Drosophila melanogaster: one gene and its partners. The protein of the gene in region 4 interacts with the protein of the main gene of each other region in a pairwise test. Each region holds a gene or a part of one and is shown on either strand. Other genes may lie near its edges.

Region 1 (4,272 bases), about 13 Mb from region 4:
AAATGCGAGTGACGCCCTACGGCTGCATCTGCAAGGATACTTCCCGCTTTAGCTTCAAGCTAAAGGGCTGTCAATCCGGCATGGGATACCTTCTGTTGGAGTTCAAAGATATCGACATTTTCCGCCAAATGCAATCAGTCTTAATCATCAATGAGTAGTAGAAAAGTGACACGAACACGCTATTAGCACCTGGTAACCTACGCATGTCTTTCAGCACTACATGGAATAGATACATCTGTATTAACTGCAGTAATGCCAACAGAAAGAGTACTATTGCCTCAAAATACCCGTTTAAAATATAAAAGGTTACATAAAAATAAAAAAGCATTTGTGTGCCTGCAACTGACTAAGTAGACAATCAATCAAAGTTCTAGAAAAATTTAGAAAAGTTAGATTGCAACTGAGGTTTCACTACCTTAAAAAGGGCTCTATAGACGCCCCCATTTGTTGCAATGCATTTAAGCTAAGTGGTTCTTACGACTGCCTTTATGCAAGGCACTTTCTAGATAGAATACATAATACATACATAGAATACATAACTTTCGATGAAAGCAATCTGAAAGTTTCGAAGTACCCTGAGTTTAAATAATTTTAATTTGATGGTTTGCTTTTGGGGTCTTCAATAAAAATTCAACTAAGTTATAAATTACAGAACTAATAGTAGTATGAAACTGCAGCAGTCGAGGTCCTTAGGGAGCACTACAGCTCCGAGTGGGCGTACTCGTCGTGCGTTGAGCTCTTCTCCTTGGGCACGATAAAGAGGCCCTCCGCCGTGGTCCAGCGCGTTCCGTGCTGCGGCTTGTGGACGCCAACGATTTCCATTTGGCCGGAGATGGGTCTGCCATAGGAGCGGCCGGACATGCCCAGGTACATGCCGGTGTCGATGTGGCGCAGCCTAACGTGGGCACTGCGCATCCAGTTCTCGTTGGAGCAGACCACCTCCCAGTGGTCGCCGGTGTCGCCGAGTCCATCCGTTCCGTACGCGGACACCTCCTGCTCGCCTGAGAGCGGCGACGAAAAGTGGTGCGAGTGCAGGTTCTTCTTGGTGGACAGGTGCTCCAGTCGCACGGTGGATCCGCAGGCGATGGGCTCGCCCCTTTCACAAAGCTCGCCGGTCTGCGCCTTGATCACCCAGTGGCTGTTCACGTCCTCCTTCTGCTCCACGCCCGTCACCGACTGCTGCCCGGAACCAGATCCGTACTTGACGTCGTGGGAGTGCAGGCGGAAGGCGTAGTCCGAGTTGAGCAGCTTCAGGATGGAGCCGCAGGTGACCACGTTGGATTCGGTGGCTGTGTTCAGCAGGGTCAAGATAGAATATAAGATAAGCATTAACTATGGCCACGGAAGGTTCAGAAAGAGGGGCGGCCAATCAGAGAAGACCACATAGACGCGACTTTGTTTCAGGTCGCCACTTACCGGCTCCCCTGGAAATGCTGCCTACCAGCGCCAGTCCTGTAAGAAGTAGTATGTGCTGCATCGTGTCCTGTTCTAGTTATCGTATCCTAGTCCGTGGACCTAAGTCAGTCAATCTGTACCGGCAATTACGGTTGAAATCAGCGTTGCACACGCAAACAATTGCTATTTTTGACGGTGCTGGTGTGACCAGGCTGCGGTAAAATCCAAATTATGGACTCACCGAAAAAAATAAACATAATACTATAACAAACTCCATATTGCTGTAACTTATTCCATTAACGGAAAATAGCTTAATGTATATAATAAATGTTGAATAAAGGAAAAATATAATTAGTCTTTTCAGAGAGCAGATTACGAATTTGACGTCACAGATTTATTGATACGCCTAGAAACTTATTTCTTGATTGTTTTAGAATTAAATGAACGTTATATCGTGAAGGAAATAATTAGTTATTAATAATTAGCCTAAAAACTAATTGCACCAAAAGGAACTAGTTCGATGAGCGACAATTTGTTGGTATTTTCTGTGCACCAGACAAGTACGGTCACTCTGCGAAATTGCAAGGGAATTTTCTCCAATAAAAGGCAAGAAAACTGAGGAAAATTGAAATTAAAGAAAAATTAATGGCACACAAGCGCCTGTTCGTCTACGCGGTGCTACTGGTGATATGTTATTTGGTTGGCGTGACATGGGTATGATGACTGGCCACATCCCGTGACTGCCCCACTAATCCGCTTTCATTTCCCCCTCAAACAATCAACAAAGGCTGAGACTGCGGCGCAGACATTCCCAGCGATCGGCACCAACAGCAACAACAACAGCAATGCTCAACCTGCTCCTGTGCCTGCACCTGCAGCTCCAGCGGCTGCAGCTCCACTAGCCAAGCAAGTTTCAGCTCCCACTGCCGCCCCTCCGGCCAAGGTCATCGGCCAGCCTGTGCTCGCTGCTCCAGGCAAAAATTCTTCCAATTCCAGCAGCACAACTGAGTGGTAAGTGGCACTGCACTGGCAGAAATTGCCGCATCTGGAAACTTAAAGTCTAGTCCATTTGAGCAGTTTTAAAGCTGCAATCCCTTTCGTCCCACTGGATTCTACTACTTTAAATTCAATTTACGTTGTTTGCGTAGGCTTCAAAGAATCATAGTTCATGTATTGCACAAATGTATTCACTTTTCAGCTACTAAATGTATAAGGCATCTTGGTATCAATGAGCTTAATTTGTGATTCTGTTAGGTTGGAGTTCTTAACAACCTGCTACACGTTACCATTTCAGCGTCTGTGCCGGTGCCCTGCTGCCCCGTTTGGATGCCAATGGCAAGGAGCTGCCCATATGCGCCGAGTGCAAGTGCTCCCATGTGGCGAGAAATACGACGCTGATAAAGGTGAGTCAATTCGAGTGCTCAAAAGCCGTCCGTACTTAACCAGCTCTCTCCCCCATCCAGGTCGTGGTCATTATTGTGATTTGGATCATCTCCATTTTAGTAATATACATGCTCTTCCTGATGTGCCTGGACCCGTTGCTGAACAAGCGAGTGAAGGCGAACTACCAGGAGCACACCAACGAAGATGTACATAACAAGCTTTCTAGATACAAGGGCATTCAGTATAGCCTCCTAGTTACAGCCCAAGGCGAAGATGATGAAGATGACGATGTTGATGCCGAAGCGGCTCAACTAGTTGGCAATAAAGAAGCACCACTCTTTTGAATAGATTTTAATTTCCACAACCACCTTTGTTTCATTTTGCGTTATAGATTTTGTTGACTTTCTAACCCACACCGTCACTTCATTAAGACAGTAACTAACACGGCCAGATCTTGGATCACCTCGACTAATTCCACATTTTTCCACCCTTTTCTAACCAGGATGAACCAACGCCGCCCCTGCCAGCCGTCAACAACCAGGAGCTCAGTGCCAGAGCCAATGTCCTCAATCGTGTGGGCCACCAGCAGGACAAGTGGAAGCGGCAGGTGCGCGAGCAGAGACGCCACATCTACGACAGGCATACCATGCTAAACTAACAAGGGGTTCGGTTTGCAGCTGGCGGAGATTAGGAGGCGCATGGGCGACTTAAGACACGTATTCCAAGCAGTTATCCTTTGCGAAATTCCCCTTTGGATCAAATTGATTATCTGTATATTTAGCCAGATTTTATGTTAATTAAAATAAACCAAAATATGTTTGTCAGGAGTGTTTGCATATTAATTAATAAGTTGAATGCCGGGAGGAATAACCAACAAATCCACTAAAATAAAACTTTTAATGATAATTGATGGTTATAATTTGGGAAAATAAGGAACGTAAGACCGTAATGGTGAGTCCAAGTTAGATTTGGAAACTCCCTTGGGCTTCTTAGTTTGACGCCTACTTTTTGATTCCATCAGTAGAGATTAACGAAAGAATAACTCGAAGATAGTTTCTATCACACAATAACCATAACTTTAAACGTATTATTTTCAGCCACATTTATTTTTAATAAATCATGTAACCACATATCCTTAGACAAGTGTTTTTTTTTAATGCAAAACCGCCGAGCTAGACCTAAACTAAGTTCATTCAGAATCGGAGGCTCTAGTATCCCTTTATGGTTTCGGCGAATGTCCAGTTTTCGTTAACTTGGAAGGGCCCCTCCACGCCGCATCCGTTGACGCTGCACACGCCCACAGTGTATTGGGAAATATTACGAGTATCGCGGTAGTAAAGCACCTCCATGCATGTGCGGATCTAGAATATAAGAAAATGGTAGGGTAGTTAAATAATGAAGAGTCCCCCCATCAGAGTTCGAAATTCCTTACCAGTTCGGAAGCTTCTACGGCGGTAAAGTCCCTGTCCTTGGGCTTCTTCTCACGGACCAGCG
Region 2 (7,210 bases), 6.5 Mb from region 4:
ATAACTTCAAGAATATATTTACAGCTTTATATTAGCAATAAAATAATTTCGATCTTATTTGGTTGCCTTCAATAAATAGGGTGTAACATTTATTACAAATAGAGTAAATAAATGTTTTGAATTACAAAGCTTTATGAAGAGCTGTATTAACTTTAGATATCAGTAAAGATAAGCATTTCCAGCCACTACCCATAGCCCCTTTATTGTATTTCTTCTACTTCTTACTCGTACGCACCGTTTATGGCGCCCACAATGTCGTAGGTCACATGCGGCGGATAATCGGAGAGTATGTCCAGGGCTGTGCGTCCGTTTCCATCGGTGGCGTGTACGTAGATACCGGCCTTAAGCAGAGTGACCACAACGGACTTTTTGCCACAGAGAGCCGCCTCGTGGAGAGCGCTTCCAGCGTTGGTGAGTATGTTGACATCGACGCCGGCCGCCAGCAGTGTTTCCACCACCTTCTTGTGCCCATTCCTGCTGGCCAGGTGCAGGCAGGTGTGCGTGAATATGTGCTTTATGGGCATGCAGCCCAGCAGCTCTTCATTGTCATCTTCCAAACGCTTATACGGCAATATGAGGTCGGGATAAACACGGAGCAAGGTCTGAACCACCTGAAGGCGTCCGAATTGCGCTGCCAAATCCAGAGCCGTTTGAAAGCTATTGTTGCGTATGGCAGGATCGGCGCCATAGGACAGCAAAATGGCCACCACGGCATTGTGGCCATGTTGGGCGCCTGAGTGCAGCGGCGTCTCGTTTTCGATAGTCTGGGCATTCGGATTGGCTCCCGTAGGCGAGTGCATCAACAGCATCTTGACGATGTCCTGGTGCCCAGCCCAGGCAGCCAGAAATAAAGGTGTCGAGCCACGTATATCAGGCACATCCAACAGCGCGTTGTGGGAGAGTAGTAGCCGTACAATGTTGCTATGCCCATTTAGACAGGCGTGATGCAGCGAAGTGTAGCCATTCATGTCCTGGCAGTTGATGCTGGGACTTCGCCTAAAACTGTAAAGGAAAACCTGTAGTAAACTACCTGGAATAACAACAGTTGCTGCTGGTGACTCACCTGGACAGCGGGCCATGTCGTTTGCTCGAGTGCTCCAGCAGTTTGTCCACCGTCTTGATGTCGCCGGCTCGCGAAGCCTCCAGCAAATGCTGATCCTTGCCCATTGCTCCTCCGTATCCTCCAACACTAGGTAGCTACACAGGAGCAGAAGAACACATGTCAAGTTGTTTAGTTTAGCTTTTGCTCCGATTCCAACACAATGAGATCATCGCGAGCATACAGAATACCACAGCCCCAGCCCCACTCACACCCCCAACAAATCAGGTGGCAGCCAGGCGGAATCAGCTGTTTGGCCCTAGCACGCACAGACTGATAGCCAAATATTTTTTTTATACAAAATAGCTGTGAACATTCCACAATAGTATTTTTGTTTATAATATGGAGGGCTGAATGGTGGCTCCGCCTCTTCCAAGGTCATTCCACGGCATTGGACTGCTCCAATTGGAATTTCTTTGTCACCAGCTAGGTTTTATCTTCAAGTTTTAATTTACCGGCTATGTCCACGTCCGTTTCGAAAGTTTACAGCCATAAACGAATAACTATATTTGCCACCGCGATAAGCAATCAACAAAGCTGTGATCTAAACTTTATTTACGTGGAGCCGATCGAGCAATTGTTCGTTACTAATTGGCTAGGGATGGAGGCGTGAGGCGACGACGAAACACACGACACTCACGTACAATCAGTGATGATCAGTATAAAATGAAAGTGTGATTAGTGAGTTGAATGCTAATGCTGAATGCCTTCAATATATTATTATATTATATATTATTACTTATATACGCCCTTTATTGTTTACAATATAATGCCAAAAGTTTTTAGCTACTAAACTTTAGCTAGGTATTTGATACTGCGTGGAATAAGCTAACTACCCAACACTTGCACAGAACAACCGATATTTCCGAGCTACCATCTCTAGCTGCACAAGCCAATTTTTTTATTTTCCCTGGCAAAAATTCACGTTTTTAACCGAAAATTTGACTCACAGCATCATGGAAACCTCGAGCTCCAGTCCAGTAAAGCCCAGGAGAAAAGACAAGGACGAAGGTAAGTGGAAACAGTGAGAAATCTGCCCCAAAACGATAAAGCGAGGTGTGCCGGCACATCGGTGCCTTTGATTTTGCCTTTGCCTTTGATAACGCGTGTGTGAGTGCTGGTGTGCGTAAAAAATAGCCAAATTAAAGTTTAAGGTATGCCCCTGTTTGCCTCGCTTAATGCAAACCCATTCACTATGTTGCCCTTGCAGATGGTCGTGCAGAGCAGGAGGATTCCGCAGATCAGGTGGGCGAGCCGCACAGGAAGCTTTTGCGCCTGGGCGACATCCTTGAAACGAACGAAGTGCTCCTGAACGAGGCGTATCAGCAACCGGAACTTACCAAGTGGCTCCAAACAGCCTGGACGGAGGAGAAGAGCCAAGGGACCAAGGAGACGCAAACCGGTGCTCAGGTCTTCTCGGATCCCTTTCAAATCTGCCTTCTGCCCGGCATGCTGGAGAAGGGCCAAAGCCAGGCGCTGGTCGCCGAGATCATCCAGAAGGTGCAGTGGTCGCGCAAACAGATGGATTTGTATGAGTTCTACCAGAGCGCCGACCTCTCCAACATGCCCGCTTGCCGACTGTTGACCAACTTCCTGCAGGTGCTGCGCAAACAAGTGCGTCCCTGGCTGGAGAAGGTTACCAACCTCAAGCTGGACTATGTGTCCGCCTCCTGCAGCATGTACACCTGCGGCGACTATCTGCTCGTGCACGACGATCTGCTTAAGGACCGACAAGTGGCCTTCATTTACTATCTATCGCCTTGGGAAGGAGCGGAGGAATGGACGGATGAGCAGGGCGGATGCCTAGAGATCTTCGGTAGCGACGATCAGTGCTTTCCACAGTTTCCAGTGCAGCGAAAGATCGCCCCCAAAGACAACCAGTTTGCCTTCTTCAAGGTGGGCTCGCGCTCCTTCCACCAAGTAGGCGAGGTTACTACATTCGACTACCCGCGTCTTACCATAAACGGATGGTTCCACGGCGATACCAATGAGGCCTTCGTGGCCGACTCCCTGCGCGCCTTTCCCCGCCTGAATTACCTGCAACCTGATGGCCTTAATAGGCCACCGCTTGGCCTGTTTCTAAACAACGTGTATCTAAAGGGGGCCACCCGCCGGAGCATCCAAAAGCGGATCGAAGAAAACTCCGAGATTTGTTTATACGAGTTCTTCAAGCGAGAGAAATTCGAATTGGCCCGGTCGCAGCTGTTGGCCGATTCGGATACCTTGAAGTGGCGAAGACAGGGACCCGCAAACGCACACAACTATGAAGTGCTGGATTTGACAACAGCCAGAGGCACCATACTGGAACTACTGCAACTGTTCCGTAGCCACGCCATGTTTGATTTGCTGCGAGATTTCACCGATCTGGATTTGGCAGGCACCGATGCCGAAAGTCCAACATGCAGCGTGGAACTGCAGCGCTGGTCCCACGGCAACTACACAGTGCTGGGCGACGGTTTGACCAGCGAGGAGAACACTTTGGACCTGGTTTACTACCTGAACGCGGCAGAAGGAGCAGCGGTGATCACATACCTCGCACCCGACGCCGAAATGCCAACAGCAAAAGCACCGACGGACGGAAGGCGATCGGACTACGATGACGAGGAAGAGGACGATTCCGTTCTGCTTACTATCACGCCGGTGGACAACGCCCTGAACATAGTATACCGGTGCGAGGGCACCACCAAGTTCACCAAATACGTGTCGCGCAACACGCCCCTTGAAAAGGGACCTGTTTTTGTTATTTCGTGCAGCTACAAGGAGTAGCATGTGATCCTGTTTCACAACATGCGCACAATTACTCGTCAAGGACTATTAACATTCATACCGTTCTCCTGTACAGAAACTAATTTACATAATAAACTTTATAAAACACAAATCAAAATATTATAGTTTTTTGTCGAAGTAATAAAGTGTGAACCCAAAGAACGCTTACGACCGCGATAAATCAGGAACTAATCAAACACTTCTCTTTAACTTTACAGATAAGTTCCGGATCGGGGCTACACTAGCATTTATCGTGGTCATCATTGGAATTGGCGTGCCCATGTGGTGGCGCACCACCACAGTCTACAGGTGAGTCAACCATGTCTGGCGGCGTTTTTCCAATTATACCTAAATGTTGCAATCGCAGAGTCAATTTGCCCTCGACGGAAATTTTGAGTCTGAGTAAAATTCCGATCAAAACGGCTGTGCAGGTGGCCATCTACACACAACAGACCAGTCGTGGCCAGTTGCTCATCGCCGAACTGCAGAACGCCTTCAGCGACAATGGTAGGTGCAAATTCATTATCCATTCATATTTCTAAACGGCATGCATTTCCCATTAGAAATATGGTCTGTGGAATTCAAGCAGCTATCTCCTACGCCAATGACCCAGGAAGCACACACGCCAGCTGCTCTGGAGAAGCTGTTGCTGGAGAACCATGTCCAGAGCGTTGGCGACTTCATGTTCATCGAGTGGCCCAAACTGCAGGAGGAGCTGCTACTAACCACCGAAAGATCGGCACTGATGCGAAGTGATACACGTGAGTCTATTGCAATGATACGGAAACACTTGTTGGCTTTTTATGTCCGAAGTTTTTAAGGTCCTCGATAGTATAGTGGTTAGTATCCCCGCCTGTCACGCGGGAGACCGGGGTTCAATTCCCCGTCTGGGAGAAATGAGATTTTCATTTTTTTTTTTTTTTCAAATCTTTTATTGTCTGTTACTTCACCTTCTATTATTGAAATAATTCTAAAAGTAGAAGTATAGCGCATAATTTATTATTTACATGATAATGCGGTTTTAAAAAGAAATATATATTTTATCGGTCTCCCCGACGGGGAATTGAACCCCGGTCTCCCGCGTGACAGGCGGGGATACTAACCACTATACTATCGAGGATTACGAATGCTTTCGAATACTTTTAATGCCCAATGAAACCCTTTCCTTAAAATTTCAAGGACTAAGCTAAAATTACTCTAGTAAATTAAAGATTAGTTAGCTAAACTAATAATGCTGTTTTAACACCTCCTAGCTTCCAACAAAATCGCCCAGCTCCTGCACGCCAAGATCCTGCAGACGTATCGCATAAATCAAATTTTAAGTACCGATGAGCGGATGGGCGCCAAGTCGGAAGCTCCGCAACCAGCCTACGATGTGATTGTCTCTGTCCTGAATCCGAAACCGAGACTCACCCATGCCAAGTGGAACATAGCAATGGCTGTGAAGAGTAAGTATTGAAAAACCACAAAAAGTCTTCACTTACTTATGCCAATTTACATTTTCAATAGCTTACATTGAGCCCTGGTTGGCTAAGGTGTCCGGTGTTTCCAATTACACGGTGCGATCGCAGTGGAAGTACCGGGTGGCCATCGAGGCTGATCTCAAGCAGGTGCGCGACCAGAGCAAATTGGGGCGACACTACGCCCTCCAGGAAACCGCTCTGCCTCATCTGCTGACATCGATTGCCCAGAATCTAAGCGCCAGCACCACCGACAAGCCGGCCATCAACCTGGTGGTGTACATTCCACCGTGCCACATCGCTCCGCTTCACATCTACAACAGCAAGGATCAGCGGCTGACGCGGAACGACGTGGATGCCTTCATTTCGCCACCCTGGGGTGGCTTCATCATTGCTAATCCGCCAGAGCATGTGTGCCTTGCGGCCATGAGCGATCAGGAGGCAGTTCCCTACCATGTCAGCACCACGGACAACATGCAGGTGATGCTGGACCAGCTGCACAAGCTGCTCGACATCAGCAGTGAGCTTCAGATGGAGGGCGTTAAGGTGGTGGATATCGAGCAACTGGAGCCACGTCGCTGGGAGTATGAAGCATACCTAAGACGCAGTGCCATTCGACACATATCCACAGCAAGCAGCACGCTCCAGAGCCTCATCAAACTGTTGGGTACGTTTTTAAAGATACCAATGAAGGATGTTTAGTCAACATTTTTATTATTCCTATTTCTGATATTATACAAAACTCAGGGCTCTTCGACAATTAAAAATGAACTATTTGCAATTTCCGCTTTATAATTAAGTAGCTTTTAAAATGGTTGACGCTATTTTTATTGAATCTGTACTGCTTGAGAAGTTTAATAACCACCTTAATTGGACAATATTATTTAATAATCGCTTCCTCCTCTCGTTTAGATCAAATCAGCTACATTGTGATAGACGACGAGGTGGGTGCCGCCATTACAAATTCCTATGCCGACATCTTGGCTGCCAAGGCTGCTCTTTTGGAGCACCGACTGGCGGACGCTTCGGTGCTGGCCAAGCGTGCGTTCGTGGCCTCGGAGCGCGGATTCTTTGACGCCAGCCTGCTGGCGCAGTTGTACTTCCCGGACGAGCAGAAGTACGCCATCTACATTCCACTCTTCTTGCCCATCATGGTGCCTGTACTGAGTTCCTTCAACATGCTGCGTGGTGTGCTGCAGGCCAGACGGAAGGAGAAGCAGTCGTAAACGAACCATAACCAAATAGTATCATCCCTCATTAAAACAATATTTTCTTTATAAGCTGTTACTGGTGCGATTTATTGGTTCACTTCGGTTTTACGTAGAACATGTCATCGTCAGGGCCTCGCGGTCGATTAGATTTGCCAGTTCTATAGTATTCCAGCATATTCAAACTGTAGACTGCCGCGCATAACAAGTAGGTAGAAATTATTCGTGCCAACATTTTGGTCTATGAGATCTTAAAGAAACCTGGTGGAAATGGATTTAAAACTCAAAAATTTTGATCTGTCATAGAGAGTTGAATGCTTTGAAAACAAGTCCACGTGCCACTAATCTTTCCCAAAGTTTTCAACGTTGGGAGTGCTGTATTTTGATGCCTTGGCTGCTGGCGGACCAGCACGGTCCGCTCAGCGTGTGAACGGCGCGTATAGGTCAGGTTCAGCGGCGAGATCGCTGCCGGATGAATGTCAGACGTGGCAGGAGGCCAGCCAGACACGCAGTCGGTGGGTGAGTCATATATTGCCAATAAGTCTTGTTTCCGACTGATTTCAAAATATCACTTACCGATTATAATTACTTGCTTAAAGGAATGCTTATTCTATTAGCTCATCATTTTCATTAGTTAGTGATCAATAGGTAGAATTTAATGGTTTTTCTGTTTACCT
Region 3 (6,114 bases), on a different chromosome or scaffold from region 4:
CGGGAAGCGCGAAAATATAGCATGGCCCACGAACTGGAACTAAGTAAGGCATGGGCTTAGAAAAATTAATTTAAAAGGGGTTAAATTAGAAAAAGGTAATTTAAGTAAGTTACTACCAATAGATTTTTATTTTTAAGCAGTTTTCAGATTTCAAAAATATACTCCAAACTTCATTAAATCTTATAAACCGTTTATTAAACATAAAAGTAAAATCTGAAATAAGTCGTTACACAATGCAAACTCGAAACCAGTCAATTTCTGGCCGTGTTCTCCTTGCCGCGCTCCCGTTTCTGCAGCTGCAGCTCCCTTTCGGCCATTCCCGCCTTCACCCAATAATGGGTCATCACATCCACCAAGGTGATGCGGCCCTTGCTTTCCTTGCGAAGCAGCTGCAAAGATGAAATCCCTGTTCAATAAATGGATCTCAAAGGAAACATCTTCCAACTCACCCCGCCAATCAATTCCTTGCAGCCCTTGGACAAATGCGATGGGTAGGAGATCTCCATGCGCCGGATCTTGCTGTAGGTGCTCTCCGTGCTGTTCGACTCGAAGGGCGGACAGCCGACGACGAACTCGTAGCACAGAATGCCCAGGCACCACTGGTCCACCGAGTCGTCGTAGGAGTTCCCATCCACCATCTCCGGCGGCAGATAGTCCAGGGTGCCGCACAGAGTCCTGCGCTTGTTGTTCGGCGTGTGCGCCGACCAACCAAAGTCGGCCAGCTTAAGGTCGTCCGTGCTGGTTAGCAGAATGTTCTCCGGCTTCAGATCCCGATGGATCACGTTGTTCAGGTGACAGTAGTTGAGGGCATTCGCCACTTGGTAGGTGTACTTCGCAGACCGCGGTTCATCGAATCGATGATTGGGTGCGCCACGCAGGTGCTTGAACAGCTCGCCCTCGGACGCAATTTCCAGGGCCAGATAGATGCGGCTCTCGTCGTGGAACCAAGTGAGCAGGCGCAGGATGTGCGGGTGCTTCAGTCGCGACTGGATCTCGATCTCGCGTAGAACCTGACGCTGCACGCAGCCCTTGCGCAGCTCCTCTTTGAACATCACCTTCATGGCCACCAGATAGTGCGAGTGGCGCTCCCGCGCCAAGTAGACACGTCCAAATTTGCCGCGTCCCAAGTGGGCGCCCATCTCAAAGTCCCGGGGACTCCAATCGTATCTGGAGGGAGCAGATTAAGTACGGATTGATACATTAGCTTATTGCTTGTACGTACGGCTGTCCGTATGCGTCGTGGGACATCATCTTGAGGCACATATTCTTGATCGGCTCCTGGTGCTCCTCGGGCACCTTGGCCAGCAGGTGCGGCAGGTGGTTGCGGTTGGCGTGCTTCGCGCGGGAAAGCGTCATGGCGCTGACTTGTTTATAATATTATGATTTTTAAGTAAATTAATTATTTTAAGTTGTATTTTCTATAAGCGTCCCTTTTGTTTGCGCGTTTTTTTCGAATGCTGAGATTAGTGTGACCGCATGCTAGAATCGAGTTATTCTGTGACTCTCAGTGAAGCAGTTAAGTCACTGTATTTTTAAATTCGGTCAACGTATAATAAAATATTTTCATGTTTCTTAAATAAAAATTAATCTTCTAGTTTTGTTCTTATATTGTGCATAGTTATTATAATATACGCTTCTCACCCGTAGGAGAATAGTTTGAGTGAAGGGCATAGAAAACTGTTTAATTATTATAAACCATAGCTACCAGTGCTCAAATCATATCAGATGTTTAATAGATTTATATTATTAGTTGTCTAAATTTATTTAAATATACAATATCAATAATATTTATATGTATATATAAATAAAAATGTTTTGCATAATATAAGTCTCGAATACCTCTAACTAACCATTGAAAATGAGCTGCAAAAAATCCTTTGGATTTCCCGACTATTCGCAATCTGGCCACACTCGCCATTAGTCATTTTTTACACAATAAACGTAAATTAAGCGAATTTGCAAGCGCTATTCGGAAGTTTTTAGGCTAATCGAAAAGATATAAGCAGCCCAAAAGAGATTTGGAAAAAAGCGAAAAGGTCTACGCAGGAGGAAGTACACCAAAAGCGTGCTTTCAGTCGCCGTGACGCACCGAAAATCGATTGGAGAGGAAAAACAATAGGGAAAACAGACAAAGATCAACTGATTTGGATTTATTGACCCCAGGGCAGCGCAGATTATTGGCAGATAGCCGAGCGAGCGGTTTGGTCATAAAGATGGGAATCTTTGGGCAGTCGTCGCCATTCGACGCCGACGTGGGTGAGTTACCACTTATCGTTAAGCTGTTGTGTTGGCCGATTGGACAAGCCGATGTTCCAATTGGACTGCACAACGGTCCAATATGCGTTTCATAGTTTTCTATTCTTATCTGGGGTCTAAAAACCCGCACACCACACCATTTTCCCCTGTTTTCCCTATGAACCCGATCCCCCGATTGAGCAGACAACAAAGAAAGTCATGTGAGATGCTGTGCGCAGCTCTGCGTCGTTCGTTGAACTTCTTATTGGAGTTGTTAGATGGCAGTCGCTGACCTTGAGTGACGTAGCACCCGCAGCCCCTCACACCCCCTCCGTTTACGCAGCCAACCCCCTCGCCATCCCTTAATGCAATTTAGTTAGTTTCCGATTGTATTGATTTTCTTTAGCTGCAATCAGTTTTCGAAGAAGCTTATCTTTGTTTTGCTGTGACTCAGAATATAAATTTCTATTTGACTGATAAGCTAATGCGGTTCATGCCTTTCTTGTTTTATAGAAAAGGCCACCAGCGAAACTAATACCAACGACAACTGGTCTCTGATTTTGGATGTATGCGACAAGGTAACGACCAATCCCCGCCTGGCCAAGGATTGCCTGAAGGCGGTGATGCGCCGCATGGGCCACACCGATCCTCATGTGGTGATGCAGGCGATTACGCTTTTGGACGCCCTGTCCAACAACTGCGGAAAACCGCTCCATTTGGAGGTGGCTTCACGGGATTTCGAGACGGAGTTCCGCCGCCTGTTGGCCAAAGCACAGCCAAAGGTTTCACTGGTGAGTACAAACAGTTTTAACTCACTTATTTCATTTCTAATTCCAATTATGATTCACAGAAAATGCGCCAAGTGCTGAAGAACTGGGCTGAAAACGACTATAAGAACGATCGAGAGCTCGACTTGATACCCGCACTCTATGCCAAGCTGCGCCAAGAGGGATATGATTTCAAGAATCTTGGCGATAAGACTAGCAAGACTGTTGCCGAAAAGGCCGCCGCCCTGCCCAAAGATCCGAATGTGGTCAGCAGCCAGCAGGAAGAGGATGACATCGCCAAGGCCATCGAATTGTCGCTGAAGGAGAACAAGGGCAGTCCAAAGACTGGGAGTGTAGCAAGTACCGGCACCGCCAGTGCCTATCCCTCATTGTATCCATCTTTCGCTGGAACCGGCTCGAGTGCACCGAGCGCCGAAGCCAGTTCCGCACCAGCGCCAGAGCCGAGAAAGGTTCGAGCTCTGTACGATTTCGAAGCTGCCGAGGAAAACGAATTGACCTTCTTTGCCGGCGAGATCATTCATGTGCTGGATGATAGTGATCCAAACTGGTGGAAGGGATACAATCAACGCGGCGAGGGTCTCTTCCCCTCGAACTTTGTCACTGCCGATCTGTCCGTCGATCCCGAGCGGCTGGACATCAATCAGCAGCATAAGTCGGCCGCCGCAGCCGGGCAACGAGAGTTGGATTCCGCTGCGGCACTGCAGCAAAAGACTGAAGCGGCAGCAGCTGCCGCCGCAGCTCAGCCTGTGGAGATCGACGAGTCAAAGATCGACCGGCTGCTGCATTTGCTGCACGAGGCGAATCCCGAAGATCCCTCGCAGGACAGCGACGAAATGCTGCAGCTGGAGCAGGAGGTCCATCAGATGGGACCGCTGATCGATGCCGAGCTGGAACGCGTCGACCGCAAGCACGCTCAACTGACGCAGTTGTCCAGCGACCTCGTCGACGCCATTAATCTGTACCATACCTTGATGCGGGATGACCGTGCTGCGGCTGGACATTTTGCCGCCGCTGCTGGCGGCTTTATGCCTGGACTTGCTGGTTTCCCGGGTGCCGCTCTGTACGGTGCTCCAGGTTATCCTGCAGCGGGTGGATTCCCACCGGCCCAAAATTATCCGGGCATGCACTCGATGCCATATGGCCCCGTACCAAATCCTCCCACTTCTGCTCCATCTCAGGCACCTGGAGCTCCTGGTGGCTATCTGGGTCAACCGCAGGGGCAGGTGCCACTGCCCTATCAGAACGGACATGCCGCACAGATGAACTGTTAGTACAAAGGATTAAAATACTTATTATATTTACCTATAATAACATTTTCAATCGTCTTTCCAGCGCTGCCAGCCCATTTGACTCAACCCACTGGCACTGCACCCATGCCCCAGCCAATCTACACTCAGCCGACTCCCGTGACCACCCAACAGCAGCAGCAGCCACTTCCACAGCACCCTCAACAGCCGCCACAGCAGCAAGGCCAGCAGCCCCCACAGCATCCCCAGAACAGCTACCACATCGACCCCCAGTCACAGTACGCCCAAGTTCCGCCCGCAGTCACACAAATCCAGCAGCCGCAGCAGCCACCGGCTCCGCACGCTTACATGTCGCCGCAGCATCAGCAGGCACCGCCACCACAGGGATACCAGCCAGGACCAAATCTTTATGGACCGAACGGATCGCCGGCCGTCGTCAACCCGCAGAGCTACATGTCCCCACAGCAGCAGCAGCAACAACACCCACCACCACACGATCAGTTTAGTCAGCTGCATCAGCAGATGGCCGCCATGTCCATGGCTGGCGGACCGCCAGTTGGGGCGCCCGGCTATCACATGCAGAACGATGCTGTCAAGAACAACATTCCTATCTACCAGCAGCAGCGGTAAGACCGCTGCACTAAAACAGAGACCTTCACTTGGTTCGCTTTGAATTGCCCGAGCAACTTTAAGCTTTGTCTTCATTCTGACAAAAGGATGTCATCGAGTATGTTAGTTTTGGCCAACTTGCCGAGAAACGGAAGTTGTCAAATCTCTGCTATGTACATTTTGAGAAGAGCAATTGTCAGTGAACCAAATATGTCGACTATCCTTTAAAATAACGAAAGAAGCCAAATTAATATCAAGTATACCCTTACGAGTTTTCGTTTTTTGTGTTTATATTTGGTCCAACGAAATGATATATTTTTCTGGAAGTAAGGCAATACCAGTCGAAAAAGATATATATACCATATAAATAATCTGTATTCAACAGCACGTATAACTTTGTATTTAGTGCAGGGGAGATAACTATTATGTATTATGTTTATTGTACGGATTATGATAAATCTAACGAAACGAATCACATTCATTAAAATCATAAAAATATACTAAGTAAACACAATGTCTTTGAAAATTGCAAGTCAAAAGCTTACGGCTACCCTTCTCAAATATTTTCAGCACTAGCAATCGATGTGGAATAATTTTCAAGAAAATTTTGGAAATCAGATGAAGTTTTTAGAAATTTTTTTAGTGATAAAGAAAGCAGATTATTTGTTTATTTCTCACTTGAATTGTTTGTTTATTTTTATGATATTTATTTAAATTTTCTTATCGATGCTATAAAACATGAAGGTAAAATTCTTTATGTAGGCTTCAGAAAGAGTAATCTGCATTGCTTTATAAACTGAAACAATTCAGCACGAGTTTTGGATTCGCACCCCTTTTAAACTTAACATGCTTAGAGCTCCATTCAACTGCGCTCATCCCCTTTTCGGAGAATACCTCCCTCCGCTCGTGTTAGTGCGCTTTTCCGATGAGATTCCAATATATTCAGACAAGCTTTGCCACATGCCACTGTCTCGCAATCCGGCAAACATGCAACAATTTAGCAAAATTCCATCCGGCATTCGGTGGCACAAATATCCTGTGAAATAAACTGTCAAAACGGGGCAGACAGACAGTATCTCAGCCTGGTAAATAGAAAATGCCAATGAATGCGGAGTGTCACCTGGAGTGAAAGAACGACGAGCCAGGAGACGGGCGAGAGCAGGCTATGCAAATATTTGCTGATTGTTGATTTCTATGGGCTGGCAAGTGGGTGGTTGTGGGTGGTGTTGTCTAGC
Region 4 (3,018 bases):
ATACAGAAAAATAAGCCATCAAAGTCAGCATTATTTGCAGTGTTTGCCGACCACTTCCCCGATAAGCCATACATATAGAGTTACGTAACTGGAGATCGGCGACTCGAGTGGCCGGGCTTTGGCTTTATATAGCTAATTAACTGGACGATCGACCAGGAGCACTTGTGTGCAACTCGGCAAAATACTATACTTCAGATGTGAAATTGCTAGATTTCTAGAATCGATCAGATTTTCCCCATTCATAAACTGGGTCTGCGACTGTGGCTAATCAGCGCAATACTGATTGATCGATTGGAAGTGCCATTGGACAATTTATAGAGCGATCCATAAATCATAATCGACTGGTATTTATTGTGCGCTATTCGCAACTACTCGAGCCCAGCTTTTAGGGTTTCCGTTCCAGCTGGAGATCTTTGTGGGGACGCAAGGCTTCTGGAAACCGAGACCCCGAGAAAAAGATCACATGATAGAACCCCCCCATATGATTATGATGATTGCATAAAACTCGAAAACTCGCGACTTTGCAAAGAGAGCGCGACTCACAGATACTCTGGAGAGTATTATATTCACATGACAAGGGTTCGACTAACACACACACACACTGCGAACGTAGTAGGTGCGTACCTGAGTATCTCAGAGATACTCGGGGCTTACGAAAGAGATAGCGCTACGCGTATCTGCCGCTCTGACTTTAGCTGCGACTTCTGGCAGGTGTTTGCACAATGGGTCCCATGACAGGTGTGCCCCGCAGCCCCCAGTAAGCTCACTTTTCCGACCAGTAGCTGTCAGCAGCCAGCATCACGTGCCAAAGTGCATTCAAATTGGGCTTAATTGCACATACTCCCTGCTGCCAAAGCACGTGCTTTGGATGGCTAGTTTACAGGGGATATGGGATATATACGGGTGGATAACCCGTGGCACAGCTTTTACACCTCGAACCCGCCGGGTTTTTCCAGTTGCTTCGAGTTTTTTCGAGTTTTTCGCTTACCTTCACAGCTCCGAAAACGCTTTTTATGTCAAAGACACACCAGATTCGATTCCCCGCGAGTGCGAGCGATAAATTTAGAACTTGTTTGTTGCCGAGCGAGAGTATCTTTATTCGAATCTGAATCTGAATGGAGCGCAGCACACGTCTGCTCACCGCCAGCGATCGACTGCGTTTAAATTTGGCACTCGCTGCCGCGACTTCGGTTCGAAAATCTCGCGATCGCCTCGAAATGCCTCGCACTCTCTGTTACTCAGCACACACACCCTGTGAATTCAGGCGGCTCTCTCGGCGCGGGCATGCCAACTATGTATGATCGGTGACCGTTATCGCAAATCAGAAATCGACAAATACCCGTACTAAAGTCAAAATCCTCGAGTGCTACATGTGTCTACCAAAAAAATGGTCAGTTTCCAAAAACCTAATCACTCTTAGGATCACCCAATTAATCACCATTAATATGTGATATTTTTGCAGTAACTAGATGTGCTTGTTGATAGTGAGGAAGCCAATCTCAAAAAAAAACCAATTGAACTAACACTTCTTACAATTTAAACTTTTAATTAGAATTTAGAATATAAAATAATATTAAGCTAATTTGGTAACAGTTTCATTTTAAATTTCAACTGTTTTAAGTGCTGTAAAGTGCATAAAGTGTTAACAGGTGGCTCCACGCACAACGCGTTAGTACCTTACCAAATAGCGTTTTCACTGCACCGCTCACCACGGCCACACTCTGCCTTTGTTTTGTTTTGATATTCCCACTGCATCGCATTTAATTTATTAAAAGCTGTTACCAAATTATGTCCTACGCCGGCTATAGCCAGCTGCCCAGCGGCAGCGACCAGGAGCGCAGGCAGGCGCAGCTCGCGGCCAGCACCTACGACGTGCTACAGCGGACGACGGACAGTATCCAGCGATCCAACCAGATTGCCATCGAAACGGAGAACATGGGGGCGGAGGTAATTACCCAGATAGTAGCCATTAACAGGGCTAACTAATGCTCGCTTACGCATCAACAGGTACTCGGCGAACTGGGCGAGCAGAGGGAGTCGCTGCTACGCACCACGCGCCGCCTGGAGGACGCCGATCAGGATCTGTCCAAATCGAGGGTCATCATTCGGAAGTTGAGCAGGGAGGTGCTCTACAACAAGATCATCCTAATCCTGATTATCATTCTGGAGGTGGGCATACTCGTCGGCTTGCTGGTGCTGAAGTTCGCTCACCTGTGAGCCAATGCCATTCTATTCCAAAGTCGTAACCACCAAACAGGCGATGGACTATATATACCTATTAATCGTTACGAATTCTTTGTCCTAGTTAATAAGCTTATAAATGTATATACTCCACTAAAATGCACTTCCAATTCAAAAAGGTCAGTTTTAGGATATACCCAGCGATGAATCGGGTGGTTGATTATGTTTATTCATGTTGGCTAAAGCGTTAATGCCTTAGACGTCTATAATATGTATTATGGTAGTAAAACACAGATAAAATCGGGTCTGGACATCGGAAGCTCTGCACTCCGAAGAGTTTAGCCCAGTCCCAACGCATATACATACGTATGCTATAACAATGATAATATGTAGTTCGTGCAGCACGCTATGCCACGACTATTTGGCAAAAAGCAACGTTAATTACATTCAGTGGGCGACAACGAGATAGTAGAACATCCTGAACAATGTCTGCATAATACTTGATCTATGATAAACGGTTACATATATGTAAGTATGTGGGCATCGCTTTGGGGATGCTTCTTTGTTCGAGAGATGTTTGGGATTTCGCAGAGCTGCGCCTCCTCATTCCTTTGGTGCAGCAGCTCTCCGCTTCAGTTGCCTTCAATTGTCCTTCGGAAGAACGATGGACCAGCCGAAAACGCGGCGATCGAAGCCGCAGGAGAAGAGATCGCAGTCCAGCAGCGGCTCCTCCGCCCACGCTACAGACGACACCATCCGTCGGTGGCCCTGCCGACTGGTCCGTGGCAATCGGGCGACTCTCTGCCCGTTCAAATCGAACAGTCGGATCTGTCGATT

Evidence for each region.
Region 1: the proteins of Vti1b (region 4) and CG1161 interact in a two-hybrid assay, tested with the Drosophila melanogaster proteins (one large-scale study listed by BioGRID).
Region 2: the proteins of Vti1b (region 4) and PIG-S interact in a two-hybrid assay, tested with the Drosophila melanogaster proteins (one large-scale study listed by BioGRID).
Region 3: the proteins of Vti1b (region 4) and Stam interact in a two-hybrid assay, tested with the Drosophila melanogaster proteins (one large-scale study listed by BioGRID).

Annotation. Positions count from the first base shown.
Region 1 is NT_033777.3:5,353,145-5,357,416, forward strand, and holds CG1161 (uncharacterized protein), read left to right. Parts: upstream 1-1,947; 5' UTR 1,948-2,040; coding exon 2,041-2,109; intron 2,110-2,182; coding exon 2,183-2,406; intron 2,407-2,689; coding exon 2,690-2,798; intron 2,799-2,858; coding exon 2,859-2,984; coding exon of another isoform or gene 2,985-3,122; exon of another isoform or gene 3,123-3,280; coding exon 3,281-3,436; 3' UTR 3,437-3,604; downstream 3,605-4,272. Other genes in the region: CG11999 (uncharacterized protein), read right to left, coding at 700-1,289, 1,417-1,477; Prosbeta7 (proteasome beta7 subunit), read right to left, coding at 3,987-4,139, 4,211-4,272.
Region 2 is NT_033777.3:24,912,609-24,919,818, reverse strand, and holds PIG-S (phosphatidylinositol glycan anchor biosynthesis class S), read left to right. Parts: upstream 1-1,954; 5' UTR 1,955-2,055; coding exon 2,056-2,110; intron 2,111-2,309; coding exon of another isoform or gene 2,310-3,865; exon of another isoform or gene 3,866-3,979; intron 3,980-4,083; coding exon 4,084-4,174; intron 4,175-4,232; coding exon 4,233-4,372; intron 4,373-4,428; coding exon 4,429-4,626; intron 4,627-4,687; exon of another isoform or gene 4,688-4,759; intron 4,760-4,913; exon of another isoform or gene 4,914-4,985; intron 4,986-5,118; coding exon 5,119-5,313; intron 5,314-5,374; coding exon 5,375-5,992; intron 5,993-6,133; exon of another isoform or gene 6,134-6,237; coding exon 6,238-6,551; 3' UTR 6,552-6,603; downstream 6,604-7,210. Other genes in the region: CG11168 (uncharacterized protein), read right to left, coding at 236-1,002, 1,064-1,167; sud1 (sudestada1), read left to right, coding at 2,056-2,110, 2,310-3,865.
Region 3 is NT_033779.5:10,856,622-10,862,735, forward strand, and holds Stam (signal transducing adaptor molecule), read left to right. Parts: upstream 1-1,914; 5' UTR 1,915-2,213; coding exon 2,214-2,256; intron 2,257-2,748; coding exon 2,749-3,026; intron 3,027-3,085; coding exon 3,086-4,289; intron 4,290-4,355; coding exon 4,356-4,900; 3' UTR 4,901-5,385; downstream 5,386-6,114. Other genes in the region: aurB (aurora B), read right to left, coding at 252-389, 450-1,167, 1,223-1,356.
Region 4 is NT_033777.3:18,398,004-18,401,021, forward strand, and holds Vti1b (vesicle transport through interaction with t-SNAREs 1b), read left to right. Parts: upstream 1-1,705; 5' UTR 1,706-1,788; coding exon 1,789-1,947; intron 1,948-2,007; coding exon 2,008-2,217; 3' UTR 2,218-2,336; downstream 2,337-3,018. Other genes in the region: Wdr37 (WD repeat domain 37), read right to left, coding at 2,824-3,018.